Callithrix jacchus: one gene and its partners. The protein of the gene in region 1 purifies or fractionates together with the protein of each later gene. This does not show direct contact. Links are inferred from orthologs where the notes say so. Each region holds a gene or a part of one and is shown on either strand. Other genes may lie near its edges.

What was found. Proteins that work in one complex are often made in the same cells at the same time.
Region 2: the proteins of SRPK2 (region 1) and RBM27 purify together in Homo sapiens (affinity purification with mass spectrometry; 3 studies listed by BioGRID and IntAct, with this or other methods). This does not show direct contact. The link is inferred for Callithrix jacchus from reciprocal best matches to the Homo sapiens genes SRPK2 and RBM27.
Region 3: the proteins of SRPK2 (region 1) and ZNF638 purify together in Homo sapiens (affinity purification with mass spectrometry; 3 studies listed by BioGRID and IntAct, with this or other methods). This does not show direct contact. The link is inferred for Callithrix jacchus from reciprocal best matches to the Homo sapiens genes SRPK2 and ZNF638.

Annotation. Positions count from the first base shown.
Region 1 is NC_133512.1:75,523,828-75,529,895, reverse strand, and holds part of SRPK2 (SRSF protein kinase 2), read left to right. Parts: intron 1-196; coding exon 197-362; intron 363-1,519; coding exon 1,520-1,545; intron 1,546-3,513; coding exon 3,514-3,760; intron 3,761-4,319; coding exon 4,320-4,802; intron 4,803-6,068. UniProt on the Homo sapiens protein: Serine/arginine-rich protein-specific kinase which specifically phosphorylates its substrates at serine residues located in regions rich in arginine/serine dipeptides, known as RS domains and is involved in the phosphorylation of SR splicing factors and the regulation of splicing.
Region 2 is NC_133503.1:44,765,233-44,771,300, reverse strand, and holds part of RBM27 (RNA-binding protein 27), read right to left. Parts: intron 5,836-6,068; coding exon 5,686-5,835; intron 2,498-5,685; coding exon 2,353-2,497; intron 833-2,352; coding exon 679-832; intron 1-678. UniProt on the Homo sapiens protein: May be involved in the turnover of nuclear polyadenylated (pA+) RNA.
Region 3 is NC_133515.1:42,490,325-42,496,392, reverse strand, and holds part of ZNF638 (zinc finger protein 638), read left to right. Parts: intron 1-1,180; coding exon 1,181-2,408; intron 2,409-2,995; coding exon 2,996-3,061; intron 3,062-4,466; coding exon 4,467-5,421; intron 5,422-6,068.

The sequences.
Region 1 (6,068 bases):
ATATACACTGGTTTCTTATGGGAAGGAGAGCTGGATTCCAATGAGGTTAGGAATGGGAGGGAGATTTTTACTAAATATCCTTTTGTGTTTATCAAACTTGGTAGCCTGTCATTGTATTTTATGCTTTTCAAATAAATAAAACTTATATAAAGAGGTATTAATAGCTTATCTTCTCTCTTAATTTTACTATGTCCAGGTCCTTCAAGGATTAGATTATCTGCACAGTAAGTGCAAAATCATTCATACTGACATAAAGCCAGAAAACATCTTGATGTGTGTGGATGATGCATATGTGAGAAGAATGGCAGCTGAGGCCACTGAGTGGCAGAAAGCAGGTGCTCCTCCTCCTTCAGGGTCTGCAGGTGAGGGACTGAGCCAGCTTCATTTCAGTCTGTCTGAGGTATTGTAAGCTTGCAATGTTGTATGTTGAAGGTTTCTCAATCAAATGTTACATGTAAGGACATTTTTGGCAAAGTTTAATTTCTGGAAATAACTACACCCTTTTCTTGAGATGGAAAATGCCCCAGGTACATTATATTTTAATATTTGAATTACTTGCCATTTAAATTTGTAGTTGCTGCTTCATTAATATTGGAACAGTTTTTTCTGTTGCCCACTTCTCTGCAGAGGAGAACATAATAACAGCTTTCCTGGAGCTGACTTTTAGTCATCAGAATATTTTTCTAGCTTCAGTTATGTTACAGTAATTCCTATTGTCCATTTGTCATAGCTACGTCAATCTGAGTTTTATCAGTGGATTTGGAGTTAGTTAGAAAAGGCCTGATGGTGGGGGAAGAAGACCAAGTGACCTGAGTATTGGCATATCTTTATTTCTGGTGGGGGTGCAGTGAAATGTGGACTGTGCTTTTGTGGATCTTCAACATTGTCTGTGCCCTTGTGTTGTCAGGCAAGCATAGATAGTAAAGGGCTGAGACTCTGGAGACTGCCTGGGGCTCTCTTCACATCTCCTCTACTGCAGGTGTTGTTTAGATCATGGACCCAGACTGTCAAACTTATGGCCCTGATAGGGTTTAATCATGTGATTTCTAGAATATTAGCTGCATACCAACTGCAGTATTTGATTTAAATTGTAGAAAGCTTGCAAAATAGATTTCAAATATAAATGTACATCTAATCTAAATTGTTTATTTCATTTTATTTATAACAAATTTGGTTTAATGACTGTGATATGTATGAATTATTTTCCATTTTCTTAAGCTATCTGTTGGTGCTTTGGGATTGACTGTTTTTGAGATGTATTAGTATTTCATTTTAGATAAATAAAAGAAATGGCTCAGTATGAACAACTTTTCTGCTATGCATTTTAAGAGTCCGTTGTTTGTTTCAGTTGCATAAACTTTCTCTAGATCCCAGTGATTACGAAGCTCTGATTAATATGTTTGTGAAGTTGGATAGTCATTAAAAGATAATAATTATGTCATTTTGCAATCCAAATGACCTGCATGAAGGTATGTGTCTGTTTTCTGCTAAATACCAATTTTGTTTCATTTTATTTTAGTGAGTACGGCTCCACAGCAGAAACCTGTAAGTACTTAACGCATATTACTTTTATGCACCATGGCAAAAGAAACTGTTTGAGCAGTTCAAATTATTAAAAAGTGGTAGTATATATTAATTTAAAGGGTAGACACATTTATAAATGCTGTGTATCCTCAAATATTTAAGACTTACTGTCTTGTTAAGTGTTTTTTGGATTTTGTGTGTGTATGTGACTGAGTCTTGCATTACTGCTCAGGCTGGCATGCAGTGTTGCGATCTTGGCTCACTGCAGCCTCCCCCTCCCAGGTTCAAACGATTCTCCTGCCTCAGCCTTCCGAGTAGCTGGGATTACAGGCACCCACCACCATGCTCAGCTAATTTTTGTACTTTTAGTAGAGATGGAGTTTCACCATGTTGGTCAGGCTGGTCTCGAATTCCTGACCTCAAGTGATCTTCCCATCTTGGCTTCTCAAAGTTCTGAGATTACATGCATGAGCCATCACACCTGGCCTGTCTCGTTAAGTTTTAGGGATCTCTGCAGAATTGGAATGGTTAGAGCCTTTCAATGATTGTCTTCTTTATGCATTTTCTGGACTACGGTTGGCCAAGTCTAATGAAATGTGAGGTGGTGGAGTTGAAGCACTTTTATTTCAAAACCACTTTATATTATTTCTGATTGGCTGCTAAGTTACCTTTTCCGAAGCTGTTGTTCTAATTTTTTTCCAGCCAGATGTTAAATAAGAAAGAGATAGTTTGTAGTCCTGTCAAAACACTATGTCAGTACTAGGTACCAGGTGTGGTGGCTGACACCTGTAATTCCAACATTTTGGGAGGCTGAGGCCAGCAGATCTCTTGAGGTCAGGACTTCGAGACCACCCTGGCTAACATGGTGAAACCCTGTCTCTACCAAAAAATGCAAAAACTAGCCGAGTGTGCTGGCGGATGCCTGTAATCTCAGCTACTCAGGAGGGTGAGGCAGGAGAATCTGTTGAGCCCAGGAGGGGGAGGTTGCAATGAGCTGAGATTAGGCCATTGGACTCCATCCTGGGTGACTGAGTGAGACTCTGTCTCAAAAAAAAAAATCAGCCGGGCATGATGGCATGTACCTGTACTCCCAGCTACATGGGAGGCTGAGGCATGAGAAACACTTGAACCCAGGAAATGGAGGTAGCAGTGAGCCAAAGTCACGCCAGTGCACTCCAGCCTATGCAACCGAACAAGACCCCATCTCAAAGAAAAAGAAAACAACAACAAAAAACAAAATAACAAGAAAACACTATGTTTACTGAGACAACCCTTGATTTGGAACGTAAGTTCTGGAACAAGAGGGAGCTGTAATAATTAGGCTTCCTGGCTTGCTGAGGAGCCCAAGTTGTTTCCCATAGTTCTTCCCTGGCTCAAGCCACCTGAGTTTACTGTATGAAGGATTGGAGGCTCTCCTTGCCAGTGCTTTGCAAGTCAGCTGGCCATGATGGGAGGCAAACAAAAGCTGTGGCTTTTTCTTCTTTCACATTGCTGCTTAGGCTTATCTCTTACAGTTCATGTTGTCTTGGCTGGTAAGAGCTTCCAAGACATATGTGAGACCCAAACACAGTGACATACACCTGCTTGGGCACCTGTTTCATTTTTGGTAGTGAGGAGATGGGATGTTGTTATTTTGTATATAGAGGGCAGCAAATAAAACTTCCAAGAGGAGCTTCTCTAAGGCCAAGAGAATTTTGGACTTCAGTTCTCTGAGAGTTTGAATGGTGAAGGCTTACTGGATTTAAGCTGTATCCCTCTGAGGGCAGGACCTGGTAGTAGACCTAGCATGTGATATCAGTCAGCACTGCTTTCCCTTTGATTTTACCATAAGCCTTACCATGAGGTGGATGTCTGGGTTTGGGATTTTAGTAGAATATGGCATGAGAAAGCGGAGTTTTTTGTTAGTTGCCATGCTGCCAGCAGTTATACTATCATGTGTGCTTTAAAAAGAAGAAAACTGACCTGTGGTCTTTTCTTAACATGTTATAGATAGGAAAAATATCTAAAAACAAAAAGAAAAAACTGAAAAAGAAACAGAAGAGGCAGGCTGAGTTATTGGAAAAACGCCTGCAGGAGATAGAAGAATTGGAGCGAGAAGCTGAAAGGAAAATAATAGAAGAAAACATCACTTCAGCTGCACCTTCCAATGAGCAGGATAGTGAATATGGCCCAGAGGTGAAACTAAAAACAACAGGATTAGAGGAGGCAGCCGAGGCAGAGACCACAAAGGACAACGGTTAGTGGGGCCAAGAGCCTGGGCTGCATGGGGTCCTCAGGTTACAATGGGGGCTGATTTGTGCTGCTGCTTCAGATGGCAAGGATGATTCTCTCCAAGTCTCTATTGGGAAATTCGGGAAACATCCTTATAATTCATTTGTGAACTGTATGCCAGAAATACAACATTTCAAAATAGTTTTTAAAAATGTAGAATGTCTGAGAAACACCATGTTTCTATCATGCTAAAGATGGTGCTTTATTTTGTCATTAACTTTTTACCTAACTGTAGTACACCACAAATCTATTTCTGAAGATTGTAGAGGGTGGAAATGGAAGTGCAGCTTTATTTAGAAAGAGTTTTTTTCTCCCAAAGCTAACTTTTTCTTATAAGAGCAGGCCAATTATTAATGAACCAAAAATGAGATTTTGAAAACTTGAAGGTTTTACTCCAAAAGCTGAGAGGTGTTTACTATGAGGTGCATAAGTTAAGCACATTCAAAATGTATTTTATTGATGAGATGTGAGGTTGTATTAAGGAGAGTAACAAGTTCTAATTCTTGACCCATCAACTTCTTAAGGTGAAGCCGAGGACCAGGAAGAGAAAGAAGACACTGAGAAAGAAAACATTGAAAAAGATGATGATGATGTAGATCAGGAACTTGCAAACATAGACCCTACGTGGATAGAATCACCTAAAACCAATGGCCATATTGAGAATGGCCCGTTCTTATTGGAGCAGCAACTGGACGATGAAGAGGATGATGAAGAAGATTGCCCAAATCCTGAGGAATATAATCTTGATGAGCCAAATGCAGAAAGTGATTACACATATAGCAGCTCCTATGAACAATTCAATGGTGAATTGCCAAATGGACGGCATAAAATTCCCGAGTCACAGTTTCCAGAGTTTTCCACCTCATTGTTCTCTGGATCCTTAGAACCTGTGGCCTGCGGTTCTGTGCTTTCTGAGGGATCACCACTTACTGAGCAAGAGGAAAGCAGTCCTTCCCATGACAGAAGCAGGACGGTTTCAGCCTCCAGTACTGGGGATTTGCCAAAAGGTAAGTGTTCTTCTCATCAGCTGTCTGCCATCACTGACTCCCGGGGTGTGCCTTTAACAAATGCTATGAAGGAATTGGCTGAAAGTGACCAACCCCTATATGCTTGCACTAATCATTTTTATTACTTTTATACTCAGGAACAAGTAATGTGATTTAAATGTACATTCTGTGCCACTAGGCTATCTCTCGCTCTCTGATACCAAATCTTATTTCTGACCAGTTGTCATTTTTAATATATTCAGTCAGCAGCATCATTTGCAGAAACCTTCCAGTTTTAGCAACTTACACCTGTAGCTTTCTAGAATGTGTAGTATAATTTGTATCTTGCATCTGTTATGATTGTATTTCGTTTTTGTTTTGTTTTTCTATTCAAGAAAAGTATGCCTGCTCTTTGGCTCTGTTGGGAAAGAAGTGTCATATTGTCTTTTCATAGTTGTTCCTGATTATAGGACCCTGTTATTGATAACCCACCCAGGATTGTGAATTTCAAGGAATTGGCATGGATTTAAATGTGATGACAGATGATAGATTGGCTCTTGTGTTCTTGTCTACCTAAGAAGCCTTGACTTATTTAGACCCTTATTTTGGGAGTGAATGCCAAGTGACTCTGGTGTGTGAAAACTGGGTAACTCAGTTGGTTTCCATTCTGGCTCAAGGTGGGAAAGCTCTGAAACCTCCTGGGCTCCCTCTACTGTCAAGACTGTTTAACACACAGTGAGTAATTGATGAGCCACCCCTGCCAACAGTCCAAGACATTCTGCAGCCCCTTGGTTCCAGCAGGCTGGAATTGCACGATAAGGAGTGAGCTGGCTTTGTTAAGAACTGGCTATGATGAATCCTCCTAAGGATGTGTTTTCTTCACTTGGCTGGACGTGGTCAGCTCCTATTCCCCTTTATAGGGAGTGTTTGAAGGTGCTTACATAGAGTGTAGGTTAATTTCTGAGAAAGGGCAGTAGTGAGATGTACCTTATCCAGATTTATTGTTGCTGTTGCAGTTAAATTTTTCTCTTAGTGAAAGTTTTTATTTTTTTGAGATAGAGTCTTGGTCTGTCGCCCAGGCTGGAGTGCAGTGGTGGGATCTCGGCTCACTGCAACCTCTGTCTCCACGGTTCAAGCGATTTTCCTGTCTCATCCTCCTGAGTAGCTGGGACTAAAGGCATGTGCCACCACATCTGGCCAATTTTTGCATTTTTAGTGGAGACAGGGTTTCACCATGTTGGCCAGGCAGGTCTCGAACTCCTGACCTCACGATCTGCCTATCTCAAC
Region 2 (6,068 bases), on another chromosome or scaffold:
ATCTCAAAAAACAACAACAACAACAAAAAAAGACCACTTTGGTTCAATTCTTTGAAATACCAACTTCCACAACACCATCTTCTTTAACTCAGCTTATTTTGGTTTGATGACAACACTTAAGTATCAGGGATAACAGACTAAAATTCAAACTTAATCTAGCCTTCCAGTACTCTCAATGACAACATAACACCCAACCATAAATTCACAAATTAAAATAACTAACAAGTAGACAGTGAAATACAAAGCTATGATTTATTTGATCTTGGATTACACATTACACTGCCTAAAATTCTAAACATTAGAACCATCCTCAACCAACTACTATTTTACCACAATATAAAAGGTCAGTTGACAAAATTATAATCTTGAACATTACCAAAAATATCAGCTACCTAGTTATATTAACTCAGATATTAAAAAAGTCATTTTTTCTGAGATAGAACTATGAATAAAAATACAGTAACTACCCATTCTCATTCAAGAAGAGACTGCACTAAAGAACCAAATGAATTCACAAGAACAAACTTGTTAATTCACAAGAATTAACAAGTCCATCATAAAAGTGGGTATACAAATGATCAGAATAACCACTGACTCATTTAAGCAAGGTGAGCTGACAGAAATATTTCCAAGACTCATAAAATGCCTGGATTCTGTCACTGACATAGCCACGTTTACCTGGATATTAACAATAGTTCCAAATTTGCTGAAGTGTTCATTGAGCTTGGTAATGTTGTTCAATTCCTGAGGGATTTTCTTGACTTCTAATTTGGTGTTTGTATACTGATTCTTTCGTAAGAACCCCGGTTTATTTTGATTGTTATTTCCTTGCCTAAAAGGAAGATTAATATATCTTGGTTAATTCTCTTACTTCATGCCTAGCCAAGAGATATAACCACCAAGAATTTAAGTTTTATATGTATAATTTTTTAAGTGCCTTTTGTTGCTGGGCATGGTGGCTCACACCTGTAATCCCAGAAAATTTTTTCAAAATCCTATGAAACATTATATTCAAAATTCAAACCACAGAAAATATATTAACATCAAGAAACAGGTTAGAGACTGGGTGCAGTGGCTCATGCCTATAATGCCAGCACTCTGAGAGGCTAAGGCTGGAGAAATGCTTGAGCCCAGGGGTTCCAGATCAGTCTGGGCAACATAGTAAGACCCTGTCTCTATATAATTAATTAATTAATTTTTTAAAGTGCCTCTTGTTAGCCCTTAACATTCTTCAGAAATTACTAAGCAATTTTCACATCGTTCTTATCCCAAGAATAAAAAAAGTTGAAGATAAAGGTGAACGCAAAAGATCATCAAAAGAAAAGGTCCAACTGAAGCTTAAAATCATATGCCAAAAAGAATACCACAATTATCAAGGAGTCTAAGTAAGGCTAGAATATCATCTTTTTTTTCTTTTTTTTTTTTTTGAGATGGAGTTTTGCTCTTGTTGCCCAGGCTGAAGTGCAGTGGCACGATCTCAGCTCACTACAACCTCTGTCTCCCAGGTTCAAGCAATTATTCTGCCTCAGCCTCCCAAGTAGCTGGGATTACAGGCATTCACCACCATGCCTGGCTAATTTTGTATTTTTAGTAGAGATGGAATTTCTCCATGTTGGTCAGGCTGGTCTCAAACTCCTGACCTCAGGTGATCTGCCCATCTCAGCCTCCCAAAGTGCTGGGATTACAGACGTGAGCCATCATGCCTGGCTAGAATATCATCTTTAATGGCATATTTTTCAACTTCTGCAAACGTATTAAACTTTTTTTTTTTTTTACCATTTATTTCATTTTTTTTTCTTCTTTTCTATCCACTGCCAGTGCCTTAGTAATTTTTAATATTTGGTTAGGCATAGAAATAGGTAGTTACAAATTAGAAATACCTATTATGGGCCAGGTGCGGTAGCTCACTCCTATAATCTTAGCACTTTGGGAGGCTGAGGCTGGTGGATCACCTGAGGTCAGGAGTTCCAGACCAGCCTGACCAACATGGTGAAACTGTCTCTACTAAAATTACAAAAAATTAGCCAGATACGGTGGTGGGCACCTGTGATCCCAGCTACTCAGGAGGCTGGGGCAGGAAAATTGCTTGAACCCTGGAGGCGGAGGTTGTGGTGAGCCAAGATCGAGCCATTGCACTCCAGCTTGGGCGACAAGAGCAAGACTGTCTCAAAAAAAAAAAAACTATTATGAATATTGTTAACTTTTTAATTTTCACGACATTCTAAACATGTCTCCTGGAACCCTAACTTTGAGACACTTAGTTTGAAAATCATTAATGACAAAGTTTATGAATTTAGTAATGCAAACAACAATAATAACAATTAGATGTTACTAATTAGCAAATTATCTTACTTTCCCAGCCAAGGTTTCTTTGTGAGTGGGCCTTCCAAACCACTCACGGCTCTTTTTCGGCTATCTGGTTCTAGAACTACTCTGGTTATGTTGCTATTAATCGAAACAGGAACTGGTGGTTCAGTCTGGATCACAATGTTAGCAGCTGTTGGAAACAAAAATTCAAATTACTAAGTTGTTCAGCAATCTCAATGATTAAATAATATTTAGTATAAAAGCTAAATAGTACTATGAATATTTCAACTACTATCATTTCTCTTTTAGAAATGCCTAACAGCAAGAAAAAGTCACAAATGTGTTTTTCTATAAAAAATAGAAATCCATGTTTCAAAACTCAAAGTTAACCTTGATGTAATCATTGACTCAGGCATGGATGAGCAATAGATAAAAAATATATTGGTGAAAGGCTATTGGAAAATAAAATACTTATACAGTGACAAAATATCACTCCAAAAATTATATTTACAATGGAGAGCTCTAACAATTATCACTTTATACAAGCAATCAAACTTAGCACCATTAATGGACATTATTTGCCTCCTGGTAGGATTCAACAAGAATTTGACTACATCATAAGGATAACATATTATGGAATTATGATTTTATGGCAATAATACTGTGCTTATATAGGACTGTCTTATTCTTACATATAAGGTAAAGGGGTTAAAGTTTCTCTATATCTACCACTTACTTTCAAGAGATTCAACAAAAAAATGTGAGTGTAGAGAATAAAGAGAAGAGAGAGCCCACAAGAAAGCATTCATGCCCAACGGTAACAAAGTATTACCGGTAAATCTACGTGAAGGCATTCAGATGTCTGCTGTGTTTCTTTTGATTTTCCATAGGTTTAAAGTTGGGAAGAAAATCCAAAGCCAATACTATAAATTGGCAGAAATACTCTAAGAAACTGCCCATACAATAAATAACCTTTGGGTAGGAAGAGGTATACTGAACAAAAAGGAAATTAATACAAAACTATGCCTATTATATACTAAGTATTTCCCCTAACTTTGGCAACTCCACTAAGCAAAGAATAACCTAGGCTGAATGCTGGGGTAGGGATATGGTTGGGAGTTGGTACATCTGATTTCATCTTTATGTCAGGGAAATTATGATGTAAGGATTCATTTACTTAACATTTAGCTATTTTACAGCTCAGCAACTATAGCAGACCTTAGGTATACATTGGTGAATAAAACCAACAAGATCCTTGCTCTTGCAAGACTTGTGTTTTCAGAAGGCTAATGAAGAAGATAGCAACTGTGATGGCATAAAGCATTCTAGAATTTGACATGCCATTATGTTCTCCTTAAATAGTTTTATTGTTACCAGCTAACATTGCCTAATGCTTTATTTTTTAATTTAATTAAGTGTGTCATATTAAAGGAAAGAGATATAGCTAAAGCTAAGTGACTTGCCCAAGAAAACAAAGAAATCCTATTTTATACAAAACATTACTTCTACTTTGAATTCTAGTTCTGCCAATTAAAAGCTGTGTGACCTTGGGCAAGTTCTTTAAACCTCTCTAAGCCTCAGTATTTTTCCTTGTAAAAGGAGAATAAAAATAGAAATATGGGAAACAATAACATACATGAGGCCAGGCATAGTGACTTGTGCCAGTAATCCCAACACTTCCAGAGGCTGAGGTGAGCATATTTACCTGAGGTCAGGAGTTCAAGACCAGCCTGACCAATATGGTGAAATCCTGTCTCTACTAAAAATACAAAAATTTGTATTACAAGTGGCACACACTTGTAATCCCAGCTACTCAGGCAGCTGAGCCAGGTCAATTGCTTGAACCCAGGAGGTGGAGATTGCAGTGAGCCTAGATTGCACCACTGCACTCCAGCCTGGGCAACAGAAGGAGACTCTGTCTCACCAAAAAAAAAAAAAAAAAAAAAAAAAATATATATATATATATATATATACACACACACACACACATACACACACACACACACACACAATCTATATATATATATACACACACACACATATACACACACACACACACATTCTTATAGTGTTATTAATGGCAGTAAAGAAGAATTAATAAACTAAGAGAGAAAGAACAGCAAAATGGTAGGCTGGGTGCAGTGGCTCACGCCTGTAATTCCAGCACTTTCAGAGGCCAAGATGGGTGGATCACCTGAGGTCAGGAGTTCAAGACCTGCCTGGCCAACATGGTGGAACCCCATCTCTACTAAAAGTACAAAAATTAGCTGGGTGTGGTGACACACACTTGTAATCTCGGCTACTTGGGAGGCAGAGGCAGGAGAATCACTTGAATCCAGGAGGCAGAGGTTGCAATGAAGCAAGATGGAGCCACTGCACTCCAACCTAGGCAACAGAGCCAGACTCTGTTTCAGGAAAGGAAAGGAAAGGAGAAAGGAAAGGGACAAGGAAAGGAAAGGAGAAAGGGGAAGGAAGGGAGAAGAAGAGGAAAGAAGGTGAAAGAAGAGGGAAGAAGGTGAAAGAAGAGGGAAGAAGAGGGAAGAAGGGGGAAGAAGGAGGAAGAAGGGGAGGAAGCAGAAAGGGGGAAGGGGGAAGAAAGAAGGAAGGAAGAGGTAAGAGGGAAGGGGGAAGAAAAAGAAAGAAAGGAGAATGTTTGCCATATGATTAAATTAATCAAAAACTATTGTCAGTGCAGTCCATGGCCAGTCACTCATATTGAAATTACATACTGGAAATCTGTAACAGTTAAAAAAAAAAAAATGGAATCCCATCAAACTAACCATCATTAACCAACCTTTTTAGTGAGGGAGTAGGTAGGAGGTTATCAGCCATATGAGAGGTAAATGCTTGCATTTAATCTTAGTTTTATTTCATTTTTTTAAGGTGTATTCCTAAGCTCTGTAAAGGTCCTAACTTAAAGATGTAATCATTAGTGTAAAAATTATCAAATGATAATTGTATTGTAATGTTTTAGATTCTCACTATTATTGTGATGAATAGCTCTCAAGATAAAAAGTAGGCCCTTTAATGATCAATTCTTTGAGGGAGAGGATCAGCAATTTCATATTTCTATACATAATATCTAACACAATGCCTAGCAACAAAACTAAAACAGCCTAAAGTCATACCCAAAAAAGACAATTAATATTAGTATGATCTGTACTAATAAAAACAAATATATTCTCACTATAGCTTTAAAACAAAATTTAGATAAAGTTATTTAAAAACATCTGAGATTAATATATAGCACCCTTCAAAGAGATGATATGCAAGTAATTTGAACCTTAATTTCCTCAATGAAGGTCAGAAATGCAAATGTAATAACTATATTCAACTATTGCATAACACAGCATCAGAAAAAGTTCAAGGTATTCTCACCTCTTGGATTTGCATCCATATCTCCAGATGTTAGGCCAATCAGATTGGGGCGCTGTGTCTGTGTTCTTGAAAAGAACTGTCTGTACTGAGATCTACCAGAACTAGTAATACTAGGAGCTTCTGGGTTGTAACCATCTGGTTCATACGTATCTGAGGGAAAACAAAGCAACAAAACACTTAACAAATCAGAGAGCGGTTAAACCATCTCTCATTGTTAAAAAATAAACAACTGCTTAAAAAACATACATTCACCAAAAAATATAAATACATCAACCTACAGTCACCTCCCAGTATCTGCAAGGGACTGGTTCCAGGACCCTTCCACAGATATCAAAATCTACAAATGTTCAAGTCTCTTATATAAAATAAGGTGATATTTGCAT
Region 3 (6,068 bases), on another chromosome or scaffold:
AGGGTATATGGGCACCCTTTAAGAAGCAAGTCAAAAGGGATGGTTCATCCTCTCCTTCCTTAAAAATTAGAAGAAAGTCAGTACTTCTTAATAATCAGGTATTGATATGATAGGATCACTTTCCGGTGTCTTTCTCCAACCTGCTGCTTCTCATTATGTGAATATATTTGGTAAATTTTAATTTGCGTTGATAGCATGTTGGGTGTTGTTTTTGGAAGCTAAGGGTTTCCTTATCCTTCAAAGTAACCTCTGATTTGTAGAATATTAATATAAAAATAACTTACTCTGTATCTACCTCAGTGAAAGTACTAGAATTATAGAATCACATACTTTTCATATACTTTATATTTGGAAAGATCATGATGAAATAAGATGAGTTATATAACTTAGCCATGCATTTCCTCCATTTCTTCTAAATAATATTAGTTAAACATTTAAGTTAAATATTAGAATTATACATTGTTTTTTCTAATTGGGAAGATTTATTTTTTAACTTATTTCTTCTTATAGCCAAAGGCAAATATTTATCCATAATAAGACTATATGCTTATGTAAGGTGGTTGTATCAGGTTTTGTCACTAACTTTAAATCTTCAATAGAGTATACAAAGAATACTTTCAAAAAAGTTTTCTTTTAAGTATTATTAATAATACAGTTATTGGGTAATTAAAAAAATATTCTACATCCAAAAAAGTAAAAGAGGTGTTATGTGCAGTATTGGTCTCTTCTCCCCACCGATTTCTGTTTATATTCTTTTTATCACTTAATTTTAAATCATAGTGCATGGATCATTAGTTTCATTGTAGAACTATACACATATATTTTATTTCAGTTACCACTGTTGGGAATAGGACCTGATAATATCTGAAGTGTCTAAAATTTACATTTGGCCTTTCAATGTTAGGTGTTAACTTGACACAGGAAGGAAGATATTGGCTATAATCACAAGTGCAAAAGGAACATATCAACAGTCATAATTTATATTACATATTTGCATCAAAACATTTTAATCATCCTAATGCTGATTGGTTGGATTTCCCAGTGCTTATTACTAATGCATCAGGAAGTCTTAACAATTGGCATCAACAGGATTATTTATAATGGTTGAATTCTCATCATAGTTTGATTTTTGTTTGTGTTTTTGTTTGTGTTCTTTTTGTTTGTTTTTAAATACTTTTAGCCCTGGCTTGAAAAACAATCCAGTTGATGAAAGTGAGGTCCAAACAGCAACTGATAGTCCCTCTGTTAAACCTAATGAGCTCGAAGAAGAAAGTATACCCAACATGCAAACAGAAATTTTCGTACAACAGGAGAAGCCTTGTGAGGAAGAACCTGAAAAAGTAACATGTGATTCTGACTTTGCTATGGAAACATTGGAGGTTGAAACTCAAGGGGAGGAGGTCAAAGAAGAAGTTCCTCTTGTAGCATCCACTCCAGCCAGTATTGAACTATTCACTGAAAATGCCGAGGAGTGTGCTTTAAATCAGCAGGTGTATAACAGTGACTTGGAGAAGAAAGACGCAGGAATTATTAACCCTGAAACAGCATTGTTACCATCTGACAGTGTGTTTATAGAAGAAAGGAACATCAAAGGAGTTACAGAAGAATCTCCATCTGAAGCAGAAGATTTCTTTTCTGGAGTTACACAGTCTGTGGTAGAATCTATAGCCGAAGTAGAAAAACCTGAAACTGTTTCAGAAATATTGCCATCAGCTTGTATTGTGACATTAGTACCAGGAGTTTCCACTGGGGATGAGAAGACAGTGGGCAAAAAGAGTATTTCTGAAAAAAAAAGTAACATGGATGAAAAGGAGGAGAATGAATTTAATATAACTAAGGAAATCAGAATGGATCTTCAAATAGGAACAGAGAAGGCTGAAAAGAATGAAGGTAGGATGGTTGCAGAAAAGGTGGAAAAGATGATGGCGTCAGTGAAAGAAAAGCCTGCAGAAAATACTTTATTCAAGACATACCCAAATAAAGGAGTGGGTCAGGCTACTAATCCTGATGAAACTAGTAAGACTAGTATTCTGGCAGTATCCAGTGTATCTAGCAATAAATCAAGCATCAAGGCTGTTGTAGTCTCTTCTCCTAAGGCAAAAGCTACAGCTTCGAAACCTGAAAATCAGAAAAGTTTTTTAAAATCTGCGCTTAGAGATCAAATAAATGCTGAAAAGAAACTTTCGGCCAAGGAATTTGCTCTACTTAAACCTACAAGTGCCAGGTCAGGCTTGGCAGAAAGCAGTAAATTGAAACCCACTCAGAGCAGTTTTACCAGAGGAGGCAGTGGAAAGATCTCAGCCCTGCAAGGCAAGCTTTCTAAACTGGATTACAGGGATATAACAAAACAATCTCAGGAAACAGAAGCTAGACCTTCCATCGTGAAGCGGGATGACAGCAACAATAAGGTGAGGAGGGTAGGAAGAATGGCTCAGTGTGTCTTTGAAGTGATTAGCTCTGCTGGTGTAGCTATGGAGTAGGAGATGTAATTTTGTTTAATACTTTCATCTCCTCACTCCACCCCAGAAGCTTCCATTTTCTTTTCTTAAATGATTCCATTGTTTAAGCCAGTATGCATTTAGAATGTTAAGCTTGAGTTCATAATTTATTGACAGGTTTGAAAAGCATTATTTGGAAAAAGTTTGGTCAGAAATAACTGATTAAAAAAAAAAATTTGCAGTGAATCTCCTAAGGTGATTTACTACTTTGCTTCTGAATGGAAAACTGTTTCCTCTCTTAAATTGAACCTTCTTCTATCAGGTCACTGACTGCCCAACTAGACATTGTGGGAAGAAAAGATCAGTAAAACTGAATTTAACTACAACTTGTAGAGACTGTGCCTGTACTGTTAATGACTGTTGACTTAGCTTTGTATATATGTTAAATATTTGCATAACTGACTATATTTTGGTAATTATTTCTGGGTTTTTTAAAATACCATTTAATAATCTGGTTGTAAATTCTGTTTTTCTGTATTTCTTATTTACTATTTCAGACTTTGGCTGGACAAAACACTAAGAATTCTAAAAGTGCTGCTGGTAGAAGTTCCAAATCTAAAGAGGTAAAAAGTAGATCATGGACCCTAACGCTTTTTTTTCATCGCTCCATAACACAGTGCATCTATCTTACAACGTGTGTCTGCCTTATAATAGTTAATACAAATGTTAGAGAGGTAGAGGTATAAAGCAAGGGATAGGAATGAGATGTTTTATTTTTAATTTACCTCTAATCCTACCATTAATTTACTTTCTGACCTTGAGTTAGCCTAAGCACCTTGTGTTCTTGGTGAAGGAGCAAAATGTTATATGGGGACAGTAAAAGAGTAGAATAGGAAAATACCTCCAATCTCCTACTGACAGGAATAGGTTGTAGACACAGAAAAAAAAAATCATAAATGTGAAGGAGAATGACTGACATTTGACTTGATTCATCCTAATTTTGTTAAAACAGGTTATTCTTTTGGCTCTAATTTAACCTTAAGTGAATGGTGGATGGTCTGTAAGATTTACTTTACTGGTACCACATTCTGTTGCCAAACAAACATATTTTATGTTTGGTTGTTGAGTATTTCAGATTTTTACCATTCATAGAATATTGTTTCAGTCATTTTACTTTTATTATCTGGTAGGGGATGAATTTGTGCCTCTGTATTTGGGGCAAGGAGAAACGTTATTAGTTTAAAGCAGAAATAAGAATTACGGCTACTTCATTTTGCTTTGTTAAGTTGGTACTACAACTGTTTGCAGATAATTCTACCTATTACAAGATTCCTTCGTATTCTAATGTCATTGTTATATATAATAGCAGTTGATCACTGATAACATACTAAAATGTACAGGAGCCCTGGCAGGAATTTATCTTCTTTACTATTGGAAGTATTTTAAAAATTACAGATACTTTGTTTTCAAATACAATTATATTAGATATTGAGTCTTAACAACTTTTCCATACAACTTTCTCAAAATGTAACCATTGTATTTATTAAAATATGTATTCTATAGTTAATTAATGTGTAACCAATATACAGTGATAAATGAAACAGTCTAATTAGCTGTTTACTTTCTAACTATATTGGAGGTTCTTTTAGAGGTCCAGTAAGTCTCCTAGAACACTTGTTAGATGTTTGACATATGGAATAGTAAATCCTTTATATTGTTTGACAAATGCTTTAAATGTAATATTTTTATGTGTCATACTTCAAAACTCATCATTTAGAAAATGTGTGAATTTAAGAAGTGGAAAGGTCGATATTGTTAGGGCTTTACCTTTGGCTTACACTTTGTGAATTATAGCTAAGTCATTTATGGGGCTTTAAAAAAAAACAACTCTTAATTTTAGCCTTTAGAAAACTTAATTAGCACCGAAATTCTCCCAGATGATCTGCATGCACAGTTATTGTGACTATTTGGAATCTAGGCAGTGTTCAAAGTTTGTTTACAATACTATGATTTTTAACTTTCCAACAGGAACCATTATTTCCATTTAATTTGGATGAATTTGTTACTGTGGATGAGGTTATAGAAGAAGTGAATCCTTCTCAAGCCAAGCAGAATCCACTAAAGGGAAAAAAGAAAGAAGCTCTCAGAAATGTTCCGTTCTCTGAACTTAACCTAAAGAAGAAAAAGGGGAAAACTTCAGCCCCTCGTGGTGTTGAGGGAGAACTATCTTTTGTAACATTGGATGAGATTGGGGAAGAAGAAGATGCAGCTGCACATCTAGCACAAGCTCTAGTCACTGTGGATGAAGTAATTGATGAAGAAGAACTAAATATGGAAGAAATGGTAAAAAATTCAAATTCACTTTTTACATTAGATGAATTAATTGACCAAGATGATTGCATTTCCCACAGTGAACCTAAAGATGTTACTGTTCTGTCAGTGGCTGAAGAACAAGATCTTCTCAAACAGGAGCGCTTGGTAACTGTGGATGAAATTGGAGAAGTGGAAGAGCTACCTTTGAATGAGTCAGCAGACATAACTTTTGCCACTTTAAATACAAAAGGAAATGAAGGAGACACTGTAAGGGAATCTATTGGCTTCATTTCTTCTCAGATGCCTGAAGACCCTTCTACTTTAGTTACTGTAGATGAAATACAAGATGACAGCAGTGATTTGCATTTAGTGACTTTGGATGAAGTAACTGAAGAGGATGAAGACTCTCTGGCTGATTTTAACAACCTAAAAGAAGAACTTAATTTTGTTACTGTTGATGAAGTTGGAGAGGAGGAGGATGGAGATAATGATTTAAAAGTTGAGTTAACACAAAGCAAAAATGACAGTCCCACAGATAAAAAAGGGAATAGAAAGAAGAGAGCTGTGGACACAAAAAAGACAAAACTTGAAGCCTTGTCCCAAGTGGCTCCAGTAAATGAGAATGTTACAGAAGAAGATTTAAAAACCATGATTGAAAGACGCTTAGCAGGTAGATACTTGGAAGTAGTAATCTTTCTGTTTTATGAGGGGATTTCATTTAAAATTAATTTTAAAATACATGTTGTGGCATTACCAATAATTTCACCCAGTATTGGTTTCAGAAGCCAACAGACAGCTACAGTCAACAATAAATTATCCAAAGAACTGTATACAAGTTTCACAGTTTTTTAGTTATACAGCAGAACTTAATCCAAGTTATACTTCAAGAAAGAATGACAAAAAAAAACCAGAAAACAAACTAAAGTAGCCAAATTAGAATTGGAATGAAAATGAAACATTTATATTGTGGGGAAAAGACAACTTTTGATAAATAGAAGAATATTTACATCAGATTGCCTCCCAGTTTTTATTTAGACTTAGGATTTAGAACAATTTATAAAGGAACTGTTTTGTTTTAAAGTAATATTGTAATGATACAGAATAGTAGGGCAGCTCACTTTCTGAACCTGAGGGAGATAAAAATAATTTCCAGTAAGAATGTCTTGAGGCCCAATGTTGTGGCTCTACTTATTGTCTCAGCACTGCACTTAGGGAGGCCAAGGTAGGAGAATCGCTTGAGGCCAGGAGTTCGGCACCAGTCTGGGCAACCTAGCAAGACTCTTCTCTCTACAAAAAAAAATTAAAAAATGAGCCAGG